Linked DNA regions of Arabidopsis thaliana. The protein of the gene in region 1 interacts with the protein of each later gene in a pairwise test. Each region holds a gene or a part of one and is shown on either strand. Other genes may lie near its edges.

Region 1 (7,324 bases):
TGATTACTTTTTTTTTTTTTGTGTGTGTGTGTGTGTGTATTTTGCAGTTCCAACTTTGCTCTTCGGTCGTACTTATACATTCTATTCCATGAATTGGCTGGACGGCCTGCTTCTTGGTGGTTTGGTGATGACAAGGTAAGCAATGCATACTTACTGATGTACATTCTAATCGGTATAGATATAACTGCATGTTTCTTATCCAGTTTACGTCTATCTTTTGGATAGGTTAGAGTTTTCTATGCAGTGAGACTCTTTCTCGGACTGGTTTCTGCAGTTTCAGATACTGTCCTGGTTGTTGCGCTCTCCAGAAAGTATGGGAAACGTATCGCTACCTATGCAGTTGCGATGCTCTGCTTAACCAGTGGCTGCTTCTTTGCTAGTACCAGTGAGTGTTTTGTTTTGTTTTGATTTGTTGTTACACTTGCTTAAGCTTTCTGTCATATTTCCTTAATATGCATATATAGGCTTTCCAAGTTATTCTTGCATCCGATAGGTTTTAGTTTCAAATGCTTGTATAAGTTATTCCAAAGACATTGCTCTGAATTTGGCTTTGTGTTCTGGTTTCTTACTAATTCATGTTTCTCTAAAATTTTGATAGGTTTCCTCCCCAGTTCATTTTCTATGTACGCCATAAGCCTCTCATCTGGTTTATTACTTTTCGAGAAGTATGCCATGGCTGTTGCAGTTTCGGTTGTCGGGGTGATTCTTGGCTGGCCATTTTCTATCTTGGCCTTTTTACCTGTCGTTATTTACTCTCTGGTTAAGAGATTCAAGCAAGCATTTATCGCTGGTGCAGTCACCACTATATTTCTCCTTGTAAGCTAACACCAATCCTAGATGCTTTGTCTGTGTGAATTTTATGGGAATTATTGGATCTCGCTGACTTTCATTAGCACCTGTAACTTTAAATTACTATTTTCTCTTCTAATTAGTTTTGTCTCTTTTCTAGGGAGTCTCACTACTTGTGGATTACTATTATTACAAGAGATGGACATCATCAGTTTTGAATCTCTTGATATACAATGTGTTAGGGGGTGGAGAGAGCCATCTCTATGGGACTGAAGGAGCGTTATTTTATATAAGAAATGGATTTAACAACTTCAACTTCTGTTTCATTTTGGCAATGTTGTTTGTCGCAATATATCCTGTTATCAGAAGGAAGTATGACCGTGCCCTGCTGGTTGTGATTTCCCCGATGTATATTTGGCTGGCGTTCATGTCACTTCAGCCCCACAAAGAAGAAAGGTGATTTTCTAAGATCTTTCATCTTGTAATTTTTTGAGCATTCGTATGGTGGCTTCTATATCGTTGAGGAAACCAGTTTTATGATACTTTTACAAAATCACGGTATTCAACAAACAATGTTTTTGATTGTCAATTAATTGACTGCAGGTTCCTTTATCCTATATACCCTCTTATTTGTGTCTCTGCTTCTGCTGTTATTGAGAACATCCCTGAGCTGTTCCGGGAAAAGTATAGCTCACGTGAAAGTCTTCTGGTGACAGTAAGTTCCAACTTACAATATCTCAGTCTCTGATTTATACCTTTCCGCAAATTGAAAAGAAGTAGATTGTACGATTCTCACATATCTGTTTAATACGCAGATAACCAAATACATGCGACCTGTGATTCTTGGTTGTATCTTATGTGCTTCACATTCTCGCACATTTGCTCTTATTAATGGCTATTCCGCTCCCTTGGAGGTCTACAAACTACTGGAGCATCATGATGATGCAGGACCAGGTATATCCAATTCGAACTGAACTTCTTGATCATTATAATGCTAAGACGAGTGAAGATCACATCTCACTTTTACTTCAAGAATAGTAATTTGCCATTGGAAAAAGGGTAACAAAGTCCTTTTGACAAAAGTTTTCTAATCACTGATGACTTCTTGGTTGGTTTTGTATGTCAGGTTCTGTTCTATGTGTGGGAAGTGAATGGCATCGATACCCATCATCGTTTTTTGTGCCCCACTACATTAGCGAAGTACGGTGGATCGATGATGGATTCCGCGGTCTTCTTCCATTCCCATTTAACAATACACTTGGAGGCACTTCAGCATCACCTCCATACTTCAACAACAAGAACCAAGCATCCGAAGAACAATATGTAATACTCACACACTCTTCTCTCATGAAACCTTCAAAATATCTCTAAACATAAACTTAATCATGGCTTGTTTACTCGTTCCATTTTTTCCAGTTAAAGAACATCGAAACTTGTACATTCCTCATTGAGTTGCAGCTTAGCAGACCGTATCAGTATCGAGGCAGCGACTTATCTACATGGGAGGTATAGGAATCAAACCATCTTCCTGAAACAGAATCCATCTTTGATTTCACTTCACTTCTTCAATTGGTTGTTTTGACCCTTTTTTCAGGCTATTGCGGTGTTGCCTTATTTGGACAGAGAGCTGTCGCCAGCTAAGTATAGATCGTTCTTCATCCCGCACATGTGGCAGGAGAAAAATGTGTTTGGCAAATACGTAGCACTGAGAAGAGTCCCAAAATGATCACAAATCGTTAAAACTCCTTAGACTTGTAGCTTTAACTCAGTTCATTGGGTAGTTTTGGGAGAATGTAATAACTAATAACTGATTAGTATCGGCTTTAAGTTCAGGTACGTTCACGGTTCGTAGTTGTGTTGTTGTGAAAGAGACTAGTTTTAACTTTGTAAGAAATCTCCAAATGGTCAGAAGAACGTGGAAGATTATGTTTATGACATTATTGTGCAAAGTCTATATTCTTTTTGTCTTTTGATATTGCGGATTCCAATTTTGGCTATCGAGAAAAAGGGAGAAAATGAGAAGACTATGGAGGGCACTTCATAATTCATATTTCTGTCCTCTTTAAGTTAGCGTTTGACCAACGCGTCGTAAAAAGGTACAGAAGAAGAACGCAATAGAATTGAAGATAATGAACTAAAAAAGTTGTGTATATATATTGTAAAAGATTATCTTTGAAGAAAAGAATAACCTAAACAAGGTATTAATTTTTCTAAAAATTTGATCGAGTCATCGAGATCATGGTAGGTATATTGACGTTTGTAATAATGTTGTCACTATGTTACCACCAGACTAATAAATAGTGCATGTCGTTTACAAAACTAAGAAAAGATTATTTTCTTAGTAGTTTTCAATCATGGTTAAAAAAGTATTTGAATATGGAAATTATTCTTAAAAAAATTGAATATGAATATGGAAGAGAACTTACAGAAAATTATTTACTAAATGTATTCCTTACATATTTCATGTAATTATATATTTTTACTAGCATAAAAGCATCAATTTATTTCCGTAAAGGAAAAAAAGAAAGAATTAAAAGGATCAAAGGGGCACGAAACTAGAGACGACGAAGCGTACTCGATTATTATCAGCCTTTGGTAGCTTCGTTCTCTCTCAAAAACCCTAACTTCTCTGTGACGATCGAATCCGATAGCGTGCGATAATGGCCAATAGTAATCTTCCCCGACGAATCATCAAGGTTAGTTTTCCGATCCTCTGTAGCATCCTCCGATCCGTATCTCCCCTCAGTTTCATTTTGGGGAATTCTAATCTGAAATCCGAAGAAGGAACCGACGGATTATATACCTCAGCAGAACTGGGAAGAATTTTCGATAGCTTGTACGATCTTATATCATCTTCGTCATCTTGATCTGACTTTTTTTTGTTCTTCGATCTGATAGGAAACTCAACGTCTGCTTAGTGAACCTGGTAATTTCATCACTTCATTCGATCCTTGTTGATTTCTCACAGTTGATTTTAGCTCAAACAGTTGGTTTTGGTAGCTGGAACTATTGATTTTAATTCTAAGTTGTATATCTTTCGAAATTGCAGCTCCTGGGATAAGTGCGTCTCCATCAGAGGAAAATATGAGATATTTCAATGTTATGATTCTTGGTCCTACTCAATCTCCTTATGAAGGTAGTCAAATTGTTTTAATCTCCCAAAGATGCTCATCGTTACTTCTTCCTTTTTCTTCTTTAATGCATGCTGCTCAACGATTTATCGTTATCGTTTCTGCTGCAAGTAGTGACTCTGCTCTGTCTCTATATTTGTTTATACAAACGGATATGTTCGTTTAGGTACTACTAGGTCTCATAGATTGCTCATGTTCGGATTGTAGTGTTATGAATAACGATGAGTCTTTAAGCTACCTTTGAGTTCATTTCGACACATTTTATTTGTTCTAGAATACACAATGCCAAGTCGAATTTCCAGAATCAAGTCTGCTGTTTTATCTATCATCATATTTCTGTTAATTGATGTTTACCAATAATTTTGTTTCCTTCTCAATCTGTAGGAGGAGTTTTCAAGTTGGAGCTCTTTTTGCCTGAAGAATATCCTATGGCAGCTCCCAAGGTAAGTTGCTTCAACTTTTGTGTGTTTTTCTTCTTTCATTTCATGTTTCACTTGTTTTGGTAACATTAGGATTACCCCACATAACATTGTTAAGTGGAGGTAAATGCTCTTTAAGTGAATGTCTCTCTACTCTTAACACTAGGATTTTATTTATGGGTTTATGAGATTGGTGATTTTGGTTTTGTTATGACTACTCCGAATGTATTTTCTTATATTATATTAGACAACGTATCCAAGTTTCTTCATTGATGTAGAGTTTATGGGTCTTATTGATGATATCATTTGAAACACAGGTTAGGTTTCTCACCAAGATTTACCATCCTAACATCGACAAGGTCTGTTGTGAAAAATTTCCTTTTCTTCTCTTACTGTCAAGATAACTAACCAAACACATGGTCTTTTATACTTATGGATCATGTTTTGTTTGCACTTATCATGTATATATAGCTTGGAAGAATCTGCCTTGACATACTGAAAGACAAGTGGAGTCCTGCACTACAAATACGAACTGTGCTCTTGAGGTATGAATATATCCATAGAATCTTCTTTCCCTACTAAATCCAAAATATTGTAGAAATTAAGATTTAATTATTCACACTTTCTGATTTTCCATTGCCGTGTAAAAACAGTATCCAAGCTCTTTTAAGTGCACCAAACCCAGATGATCCTCTGTCTGAGAACATAGCTAAGCATTGGAAGAGCAATGAGGCAGAAGCTGTGGAAACAGGTGATAAAATACGATCGAAAAACTCAAAAAAGTTGCAACAAAAACTTTATTCCTCTCCTCTCTAATCTGGTAATCTCATATCAATGTGAACTTATGCAGCTAAGGAATGGACTCGTCTTTACGCAAGTGGTGCTTAAAGAAGACTGCAAATGGAGAAAGATCATTGTCATTTAAATAACATTATATATGGTGAAACTCTATCTCAAGGTTTTATCTGAATCCTTTTTCTGAAAACAGAGGAAAAAGATTTGTACTCTCTGAATTTGTATAACTAGGGGGATCTAAGACTCGTTTACCCATATCTGGAATCTAACTTTCTTCAATTGTGCTTGCTTTTGATCTTTGTTTTTGTTATATATGCTCTATAATAATCTTTATAAAGTGGTGTAGATAATCAGATTTTCACAGGTTGTGAATCAAAGTAAATTGGATGAATGATGCATAATGTTACTATTACAGGTGTATGAAGCAGCTTATTTTGGTCAAATGTAAAAAAAAAAAAAAGTGGTAAAAATAGTAGTCACGAGGAATGAGACTTGAGATTTTGAAAAATGGGCATAATCAGAAACTTGACTCGTCAGTTGATGGACGCCTCAAGAAGTACCTCAGACTATTAGCAAGGACCTACAAATACAAAATTTGATTTCATTTCAGTAAAAACATTTCAACTTATCAAAGAGAAAAGTCTAATTTCAGAATTTTAACCTGCTGGAGAGGCTTGATTAGGGCTTTGTTCCTGTAGCTTACATGAAACTTCACCTTAGCCAACAAACCCTTTTTGTTTCACATACAACAAGAAGAAGCAACATGAGAAACAGAGCGATATTATAGCGGAGGGTATATGTTTTAGACATTAAAAAACAGGATTATTAGATACCTCGGTGTCGAATTCTCCAGATTCAACAGCGACGCTGATATCTGAAATGATCTTCACCAGCTCAACTAATAGTCCAGGTCTATCCGCTGATTCTATGAAGAGTAAACTGCATCATCAACAAATAATTATGGATCAATGATCAGATCATATATCATAAGAATAAAAGCATTTGGATAAGGTTCTAGAGTTGAGATAAGGTATGGGTATACATTACCTGCGGTCTGGTCCATCATCTTCAATGGTTATATGTGTTGCTATGTCCACGTCAATCTGTCAACATCCCAATCCAAAATACAGAAGAAGGAAAATGAATTTTGAAGCTACTTTGAAGTTGCGTGGGTATTCCCTTCTTCATCAAAGTGATTAATACTATAATGAAGTTTAATACTTGTACTCTACATTGACCCGCCAAATCCAAATATGTTGATTATTAGTTAAGTCTTTGTTTTCTCTATTATTGTTTCTTATCTGTACGTGACCGAGGAAACGACAAGCAGTCTTGACCTTTATGTTCGAGGATGCTAACTACTTGAAGAATTAGTGCAATACAAAAGAAGTGGATAAGGTTATAAAAAGAGCATCACAGTTTAAGGTTTTTACCGGTTCAGTTGGAGGAAGAACACCAAAAGCTGCTCCCATTGCCAACTGAGAACTTGATTCCTGATCCAAATCATCGAGAAGCAATGTGTGAGTTAAAAAATTATGCAAGATATAGGAAAAATAGAAAGAGAGGATATTAGGATGTGAAGTAGTTACAGGATGAAACTCAAGCAGATTGTTTATGACTGTGAGACGAATGGCCTCAAGCAATTCAGGGTCTTCTACTTTTCTTCCACTATCTCTGTTGTAACAACAATTACAGTCAGCTCAAAACTCAATCTAAAGTCAACTATTTGACAGAGTCAATCGATTCAAAGCAACATTAACTATCTAAACGACTCTTGGAGCTCAAAATACTCTTTGATGATATGAAAAGACATACGCTCTAGTAATGGCAAATTTGTTGTGCTTGCCGGAAGAATCAAGGTAAACATTTGCCTTGACGACATTCAATCCCAAGTTTTTGAGCGCATTCATCTAGAAGGGCAAAGTTGATCAGATCAAGAAGCAGTCAAAAAAGCAGGAAAGGAAGTAAGAAGCTTTTGTGAATGTTGGTCGATTATGCAGAGCTAGCAACAAGTGAGTAAGAAGAAGGTATCCTTCCTTACAGTGTCAAGTAAAGCTCCAAGACGATCTCCGAATGTAACTTCAAGAACGGTTGCATCAGGGTCAGAATCTTGGTCGATTATAACAACTGGAGTTGGAACTTTATCAGAATCAGCAGCACTTCCTTCTTGCTTTCCATTCTTCAAAATCA
Region 2 (6,997 bases), on another chromosome or scaffold:
AGAAGGAAGAAGAACGTGACGCTCGGGTGGAATAAAAGCGGTTCAGCGGAAGAAAGACGGAAGAAAGGGAAGGAAAAAGTTGTGTGGAAGGAGTCAGAGAAAGAGATTGAGATGCAAAGTACAGAGATGCCTTCACGGAGTCAAGTGAAAGTAGGGCGAAACACGAGGAGAAAACGGTCGATGAAGGTTGTTTACGGGAAAGGCGTGGCTTGCGTGTCAGGTGAATCAGGGATTGGAAAAACTGAGCTGCTTCTTGAATTTGCTTACAGGCATCACCAAAGGTATAAGATGGTTCTTTGGATAGGTGGTGAGAGCCGTTACATAAGACAGAACTATCTGAATCTTTATCAGTATTTGGAAGTCGACATCGGGATAGAGAATTCTTCGGATAAAACGCGGATGAAGAGCTTCGAAGAGCAAGAAGATGCTGCGGTTTCCAAGATTAGAAAAGAGCTGATGAGGAATATACCGTTCTTGGTTGTCATTGATAACTTGGAGAGTGAAAAAGACTGGTGGGATTCGAAGCTTGTGATGGATCTTCTTCCTCGGTTTGGAGGCGGGACTCATATTTTGATATCTACACGTCTCTCTCAAGTTATGAACATGGAGCCGTTGAAACTCTCTTACCTCTCTGGTGCTGAAGCTATGTCGTTGATGCAGGGGAATGTTAAAGATTATCCGGTTTCGGAAATGGATGCATTGAGAACTATTGAAGATAAACTCGGACGGTTAACGTTGGGATTAGCAGTCGTAGGAGCAATATTGTCAGAGCTTCCTATAAACCCGAGCCGGCTTTTGGATACTATAAATAGAATGCCGTTAAGAGAGATGGTGTGTAGTGGTCGAGAGGGGAATCTGTTGAGAAGAAATGCGTTTCTGTTGCAGCTGTTTGAAGTTTGTTTTTCGATCTTTGATCACGCGGATGGACCTAGAAGTTTGGCTACGAGAATGGTTGTTGCTAGTGGGTGGTTAGCTCCTGCACCAGTTCCAGCTTCTTTATTAGCTTTGGCTGCTCATAAACTCCCTGAGAAACACAGAGGTCCGAAGCGGCTATGGAGAAGACTAAGGCGCGCTATAACCTGCGGTTTTACGTCTTCAAACTCCAAACGATCAGGAGCTGAAGCTGCTTCAATGCTACTTAGATTCAACATTGCTCGAACCAGCAGCATCAAGCTAGGGTTTATACAGATCCACGAGCTTGTGAAACTCTATGCGAGAAATCGAGTACTGGTCAATGAAAACGCTCCCGCAATGGTTCAGGCGGTGATAAGCCGCGGCTCGACTGTTGAAACCGCAGAGCAGATCTGGGCGGTTTGTTTCTTGCTGTTTGGTTTTAGCAACGAATCTCCGACTATTCAGCTGAAGATAACAGAGCTGCTGATTCTTGTGAAACAAGTAATCTTGCCTCTTGCAATCAGAACGTTCATATCATTTTCGCGATGCACAGCCTCAGTGGAGCTACTAAGGGTCTGCACAAACGCACTTGAAGCAGCTGACCAAACGCTAGTGACACCAGTAGAGAAATGGCTAGACAAGTCGCTTTGCTGGAGACCAGTTCAGACAAGTGCACAACTAAACCCTATTCTATGGGAAGAACTTGCTCTAGCTCGAGCCACCGTGCTAGAGACTCGAGCTAAGCTGATGTTACGAGGCGGGCAATTTGGTTTGGCTGATGACTTGATCAGAAAAGCAATCTTCATAAGAACTTCGATCTCAGGAGAGGATCATCCTGGGACTGTGTCGGCTCGAGAGACATTGAGTAAGTTAACGAGGCTTTTATCCAATGTTCATCAGATTCATAACACTTCACCGTAATAGAGAGAAGCTTTTAGGGCTTTCTTGTTGTAAAAGTTATAAAGGTTAGAGTTTCTTGTTTTTTTTTAATTATCATTATTTTAGTCATAAGAGTTAGATTTATACAGAAGGTTTAGTAATAAAAAAAACTGTTATCTAAGAAATTTGTCAGAGAATCCTTTTTTATCACAGTAAAATCTCTGAATTTTCAGGCTCTTCTAAAACTGTTCTTCAACTTTTCTCGAATTAATTCAGATTCAGAAACAAATCTTAAACATAAGAGTTTTTCAAAGAATATTAAACAATCAAATCTAATTTCTGTATATCATCAAAAGGAAGTGAAAGCTTCTGAATGTAGTAGAGAGCAACAATGTTCATCATACCACCAGAGTAAGTCCTAATGCCTGTTTATATCAAATCTTCTGTACCGTTTTTCGCACTTCTTGTTCCGAGCTATTGGTTTCTTGTTCACGATTATGATTCAGTGAGCACTAATTCCTGTGAAAAGAATACCCAAAAAGTAGACTCTATTGTCAAAACAGATTCTAGTGACTCAAGAAGTTCAAAATGTATTGTGAAAATGGCGGATTTTAAACGGACACAAACCTTATCGCAAACTGGACACGCCTCGCTTCTTTCCATCCATGCAAGAATGCAAGCGAGATGAAAGTCATGGCCACATTTAGTGAGCAATTTCGGGTTATCAATCTCATATTCTGCAAACAAACAAGATGAAGATATTTACCAAAATGTTATATTTAACATGTAACTTTGAATGATAAACAAAATACCTTCTAAGCAAATTGGACATTCATCGATTGCTTCTCGATACTGTTTCTTTAGCTCAAAATCAGTTAGATCATCAACATGCCATGTTTTCTTCTCTGGAACAACTTGTGTGAGTCCCGGGGATGCTTCACTCGAATTGCCCTGAGTTCTTGGCAATTTCGGTGGACTAGTTTGAAGATTTATATTCGTGATGGCTAAAGGAATAGGCGGCGAAAGAGGTGAACTGTATGCATTAGAGAGAGAGGAAGGCGTGGCACGAGATAAGGGAAGATGCTCATCTATAGTTCTTGAGCTCTACAGAAAACAATAAAACATAAGAAAACAAAAACCAAAACCCAAAAAGGCTGCAAACAAGAAAGACGTAGAGGCTTTACTTCGGGTATACTCGGGAGACAACAGCAGCAACCCATTCTTTGGTATGATAAAGTTTTGACAGTTCTCAGATCAGTGTATAGCAGCTCTTTAGGTTACCAAAAGACCTGTAGTATCCAGAAAAAATTCATAAGACTCCTAATTGAAACTCTAATGGGAGGCAAAATCTAGCTCTGTGATCATACTAAGTAACTGGAAAACCAAACTCAAACACCACAAGTACTTCAATGTAACATAGCTAACTATACACTAACAATGAGAGAATAATAGTCACAGAGATTAAAGCAATACAAATATGTGTATCCATTGTGATGACAAATATAAGATTAAAGACTCTCGTGTACTTATGAGGTTCATTATGAAGAAAGTAAATTTCATGTTGAATACTCATGGAAAATCATATGATCCTAAGAACATCTTGAGCTTTCAAATGAAAAAAAAAACTTGGTTTACCATAACAGAGATACTATTAGTTACCAAACCCTAATAGACGAAGAACTGAAAACAGAGTGGTTAAAAAAATAAAAAACAGTAAAACCTGGAAACTAAAAAAGTGGGCTGAAACAGAAGTAAAAAAAAAAAAAAAAAAAATCTCAGAACAACCAAACAGAACAAACGAAAACAGAAAAGAAGAACCTCACAAACAGAGTTAGTGATCCTACAAAACAAAAATATAAAGTGACTTTTGTAACGGAGAAGAAAAAAATCATTAGTTACCTAAAAAACAGAAACAGAAGCTTGATATAGTCCTTCTTTTGATAGGATTTCTGGGAAAACTTTTTGAGGTTTTGTGTTGAATGAGAATTTTCTGATGGCGACGAAGAAGACTAGCTGCGACGAAAGAGGCGACTTTATCAGAGAGATAAAATCAAGGGATCACAATTTTCTTTACTTTAATTGTTATTTTGGTTGTTAATCAAACTTTTTTGTATTTATATTCATTAATCACAAACCATATCGTACAAGGAAACTCTGGATTTTCTTAAGAATATTTCCCATTAGCCCTTTTATAATAAGATTTTCATGATTTGACCACCAAGGTAATTAGTATTATTTTATGGGATATACAATATTAACCATATAAGTTATAACTATATAAGCAAGTTTTAAATTAATGATTGCACTACTTATAGTATCTTAAATCTAAAAATTATGATTCATACTTTTGGTTCAAAATAAAATTAAAAACTGATTAACCAGAAAAACAATTTTTTTATATTTAGTAAAATATTGGATATGAACAGATTTAAAACATTATCTACAGATAAACTGATATAAAGTATAAACCCTTGGTGGGGACAAATAATAATTATTCTATTTAGTAAATGATAAAATTGTCTAAAAAAGTATTTTCAAGCTTGGACCTTTGTTGTACTTACGGTCTCAACTAAAATGTATAGTTTTGATCAAATTAAAATACAATGGTGAGCTTTCATAAACCAATAATGTCGAAACTTTGGTATTTCATTTTAAGTTACAAAAATATTAGTTGATTGATAGTATAATCCCTTTTATGTGATGGCGTGTAGCGCCCTTACTCAACCCTTATATTCGGTGGCATTACTTCAATCTCACGTTACTATTAGTCCCCCTCAAGCTTTAAAATTTTCAATTAGTTTTGGTTTTGAATTGATTTAATAATCAATCGATAATTAAAAGAAGATTAGTTTCGACGAAGCTATTTTGTAACCGCATGTTACAGGAAATCATGATTGATATTGATATTAGGAAATTGCTACGTCGCATTACGGGCCCAGTATCTATCTATCTACGCCTATCTGTTGTGAAGAAGGTACCAAATTCTCAACTGGTTTACGTGTACGAATCTCTTCGCTCCACTTAGGAAACTTTTTGATTTCATGTCGGTCACTGAACACTAAAAATAGCATTTGCTGATAATAAGTCATTATCACACTAGTTTAATCAAAAACCTTTTGGGGCATATACGCAACGACAACATCAAAAATCAAAGCTCTTACGAGAATAAAAAAACGAGTGGGTTCCAACACAAAAATTAGAAACAAGAAGTCGGCAACAATTCACTTACTACATACACTAAAAGAAGAAATTTGCTTACCTTAGGGCAGTGTAAAATCAAATCAAGCCTTGAAGAGAATTTCGACTGCTTCAAAGAAGAGAGGAGCGATCTCAGGGGTTGGAGTCTTGACTGCACATTTCAGACCAGGTTGACCCACTATGGCCGTTAGTTCGATCAGGAACGGTATGCCTCTTGGTACCTTGGCCGAAAGATAGAGGACGTCTTGGTTCCCATTCTTACGCTTTGCTATGAAGAACATGTTTGATGCGGCGAGTAAATCAAGTGTTGACTCCACGCTCGTGATGGTTATCCCGGGGAATTCTTTCTGCACCTCGTTTGAATCCGGTAACGATTTCCATGTCTAATCAAAAAAACAAATGTTTTATAACTCAGAAGAACTGGTTTTTAAGACTGTGGTATATAGTTATGATCAGAAATCAATATCTTCCTTCAGTTCTTACTGAGTCTAGAAACTTAAATCGATGAAAACCATATCATATGTTAAGATCTACAGCACCCTAACTCCCCCAGGCTTCTTAAGGCACAAAATCTGTCACTAATTACTCGCCCATCTTAATATCATAAGCCCTCTCCACTATTAGTCAATGACTAACATGGTGCTGTATTGTTAATGAACTCTTTATCATATATTAGTCTTTTACCTCGAGGAAGGTTCCGCGCTCCATCCGACCATCTTCTGAGAAAAGAGCGTTAAGTACAATCTTATCCTCGAAGTACCAGACAGGCTGCTGGTTGTTTTTGACGGCAACTTGCAATACCGAGCTGGTGGAGCCAGTAGACATGTTTTGGGACAATACCATTGGCATCATTGTCCTGGCAGATGCTCCGGGTTGCAGAGGCGGAACCTATAATAGTACAAAACCTGGACATCAGTTTCAGGAATCCAGGATATATAATAGGCGTAGATGTAGAGCATATCCAACTACTATTACCTGAAGTGATCCGACAGCTGCAAGGCCGAATGAGTTTTTGTTGAACTGAATCATGAAGCCATCAAGAAGTGACTGCGAGTTGTTCTCGAGGAGCATACTGTAGAATACTTGACCATCTTGTCGGGTTAATTGAGCGCTAATCTGCAGACCTTGACCCTTTGATGCTGGTAGGACAACAGGCAGTGGACGACTGCAAACAATATTAGGTGATTCAATGAGTTTTATAAACAACAAGGTGATCCAAATAGATATGATTGAATAAAACCAGTCCATCGCACACCCCAACTGTGAGAGAGACTTTTAATGTAATTTTCACCATTCAAAACTCACCCTGACGGAGTTGTGGGTTCATCTACAGGGACGATTGCAGCATTATCTGACCCCATTAGGTCACCTAGCAGATCGGGTACAGGAGCTGGGGCAGCAGCTAGCTTTGTGACATAGCCTGTGGTAGCTGACGGGGAAGCTGCACCATCAACCGGATTACCAGATGCCTCGGGATATCCTGTTTCGCTCCCTTCTACATAATCCTCATCCTCCGTTTTCTGAACTGTGGTTTTCAAGCGGGTTACAAAAGCCTCTGGCGGCTTGTGATACACAGAGGACAAGGTGGATATATTTGCAAGTAGCTCATCCAGGAGCGACGGATCAAGTTGGTTTGAGTCATCAGTAATCACAGGCTTTTCAGCTAAAACAACATCCTTGGCCGCCTATAGTCAAAAGAAGAGCACTGATGACTGTAGGTAAAAGAGATGATTGTTGCTCATCCTCCAATGTCCTTGAACTAGTTTAGTAGAATATATTAAGAAAACATACCTCAGGATCAGTCGATAGAAGACGCCAGTAGATGTATGCACGATCCCTGAGATCAGGATTATCTGTTTCAACAGTAGCATTATTCAAGACAACCTGAAAAATTGAAACATGGCAAAAGCCAGGCCTGTCGTCAAATACATGCGCTTTAATCGATTAGGAGAGCAAAAGGTAGTCTTCATAATGGTCATGGCAGAACCTGAATCATTTGTTGTGGGCCTTCAGTTGGCTTCTTCAG

Evidence for each region. Proteins that work in one complex are often made in the same cells at the same time.
Region 2: the proteins of UBC36 (region 1) and AIRP1 interact in a two-hybrid assay, tested with the Arabidopsis thaliana proteins (one large-scale study listed by BioGRID).

The regions. Positions count from the first base shown.
Region 1 is NC_003070.9:5,774,453-5,781,776, reverse strand, and holds UBC36 (ubiquitin-conjugating enzyme 36), read left to right. Parts: upstream 1-3,292; 5' UTR 3,293-3,449; coding exon 3,450-3,485; exon of another isoform or gene 3,486-3,687; coding exon 3,688-3,742; intron 3,743-3,838; coding exon 3,839-3,925; intron 3,926-3,948; exon of another isoform or gene 3,949-4,304; coding exon 4,305-4,363; exon of another isoform or gene 4,364-4,656; coding exon 4,657-4,698; intron 4,699-4,810; coding exon 4,811-4,884; intron 4,885-4,992; coding exon 4,993-5,090; intron 5,091-5,189; coding exon 5,190-5,227; 3' UTR 5,228-5,600; downstream 5,601-7,324. Other genes in the region: EBS3 (Alg9-like mannosyltransferase family), read left to right, coding at 48-135, 226-385, 599-816, 950-1,245, 1,393-1,504, 1,605-1,743, 1,916-2,112, 2,206-2,295 and 1 more; ACR11 (uridylyltransferase-like protein), read right to left, coding at 5,652-5,714, 5,796-5,864, 5,968-6,073, 6,182-6,237, 6,568-6,627, 6,724-6,808, 6,950-7,044, 7,176-7,313. UniProt on the Arabidopsis thaliana protein: Catalyzes the synthesis of non-canonical poly-ubiquitin chains that are linked through 'Lys-63'. This type of poly-ubiquitination does not lead to protein degradation by the proteasome. Mediates transcriptional activation of target genes.
Region 2 is NC_003075.7:12,238,845-12,245,841, forward strand, and holds AIRP1 (RING/U-box superfamily protein), read right to left. Parts: upstream 3,863-6,997; 5' UTR 3,618-3,862; exon of another isoform or gene 3,592-3,617; intron 3,548-3,591; 5' UTR 3,347-3,547; coding exon 3,210-3,346; exon of another isoform or gene 3,022-3,209; coding exon 2,958-3,021; intron 2,878-2,957; coding exon 2,586-2,877; intron 2,511-2,585; coding exon 2,401-2,510; intron 2,293-2,400; coding exon 2,269-2,292; 3' UTR 1,960-2,268; downstream 1-1,959. Other genes in the region: AT4G23440 (Disease resistance protein (TIR-NBS class)), read left to right, coding at 1-1,815; AT4G23460 (Adaptin family protein), read right to left, coding at 5,055-5,354, 5,656-5,859, 5,947-6,136, 6,277-6,656, 6,763-6,855, 6,959-6,997. UniProt on the Arabidopsis thaliana protein: Possesses E3 ubiquitin-protein ligase activity in vitro when associated with the E2 enzyme UBC8 in vitro. Plays combinatory roles with AIRP2 in the positive regulation of the abscisic acid-mediated drought stress response.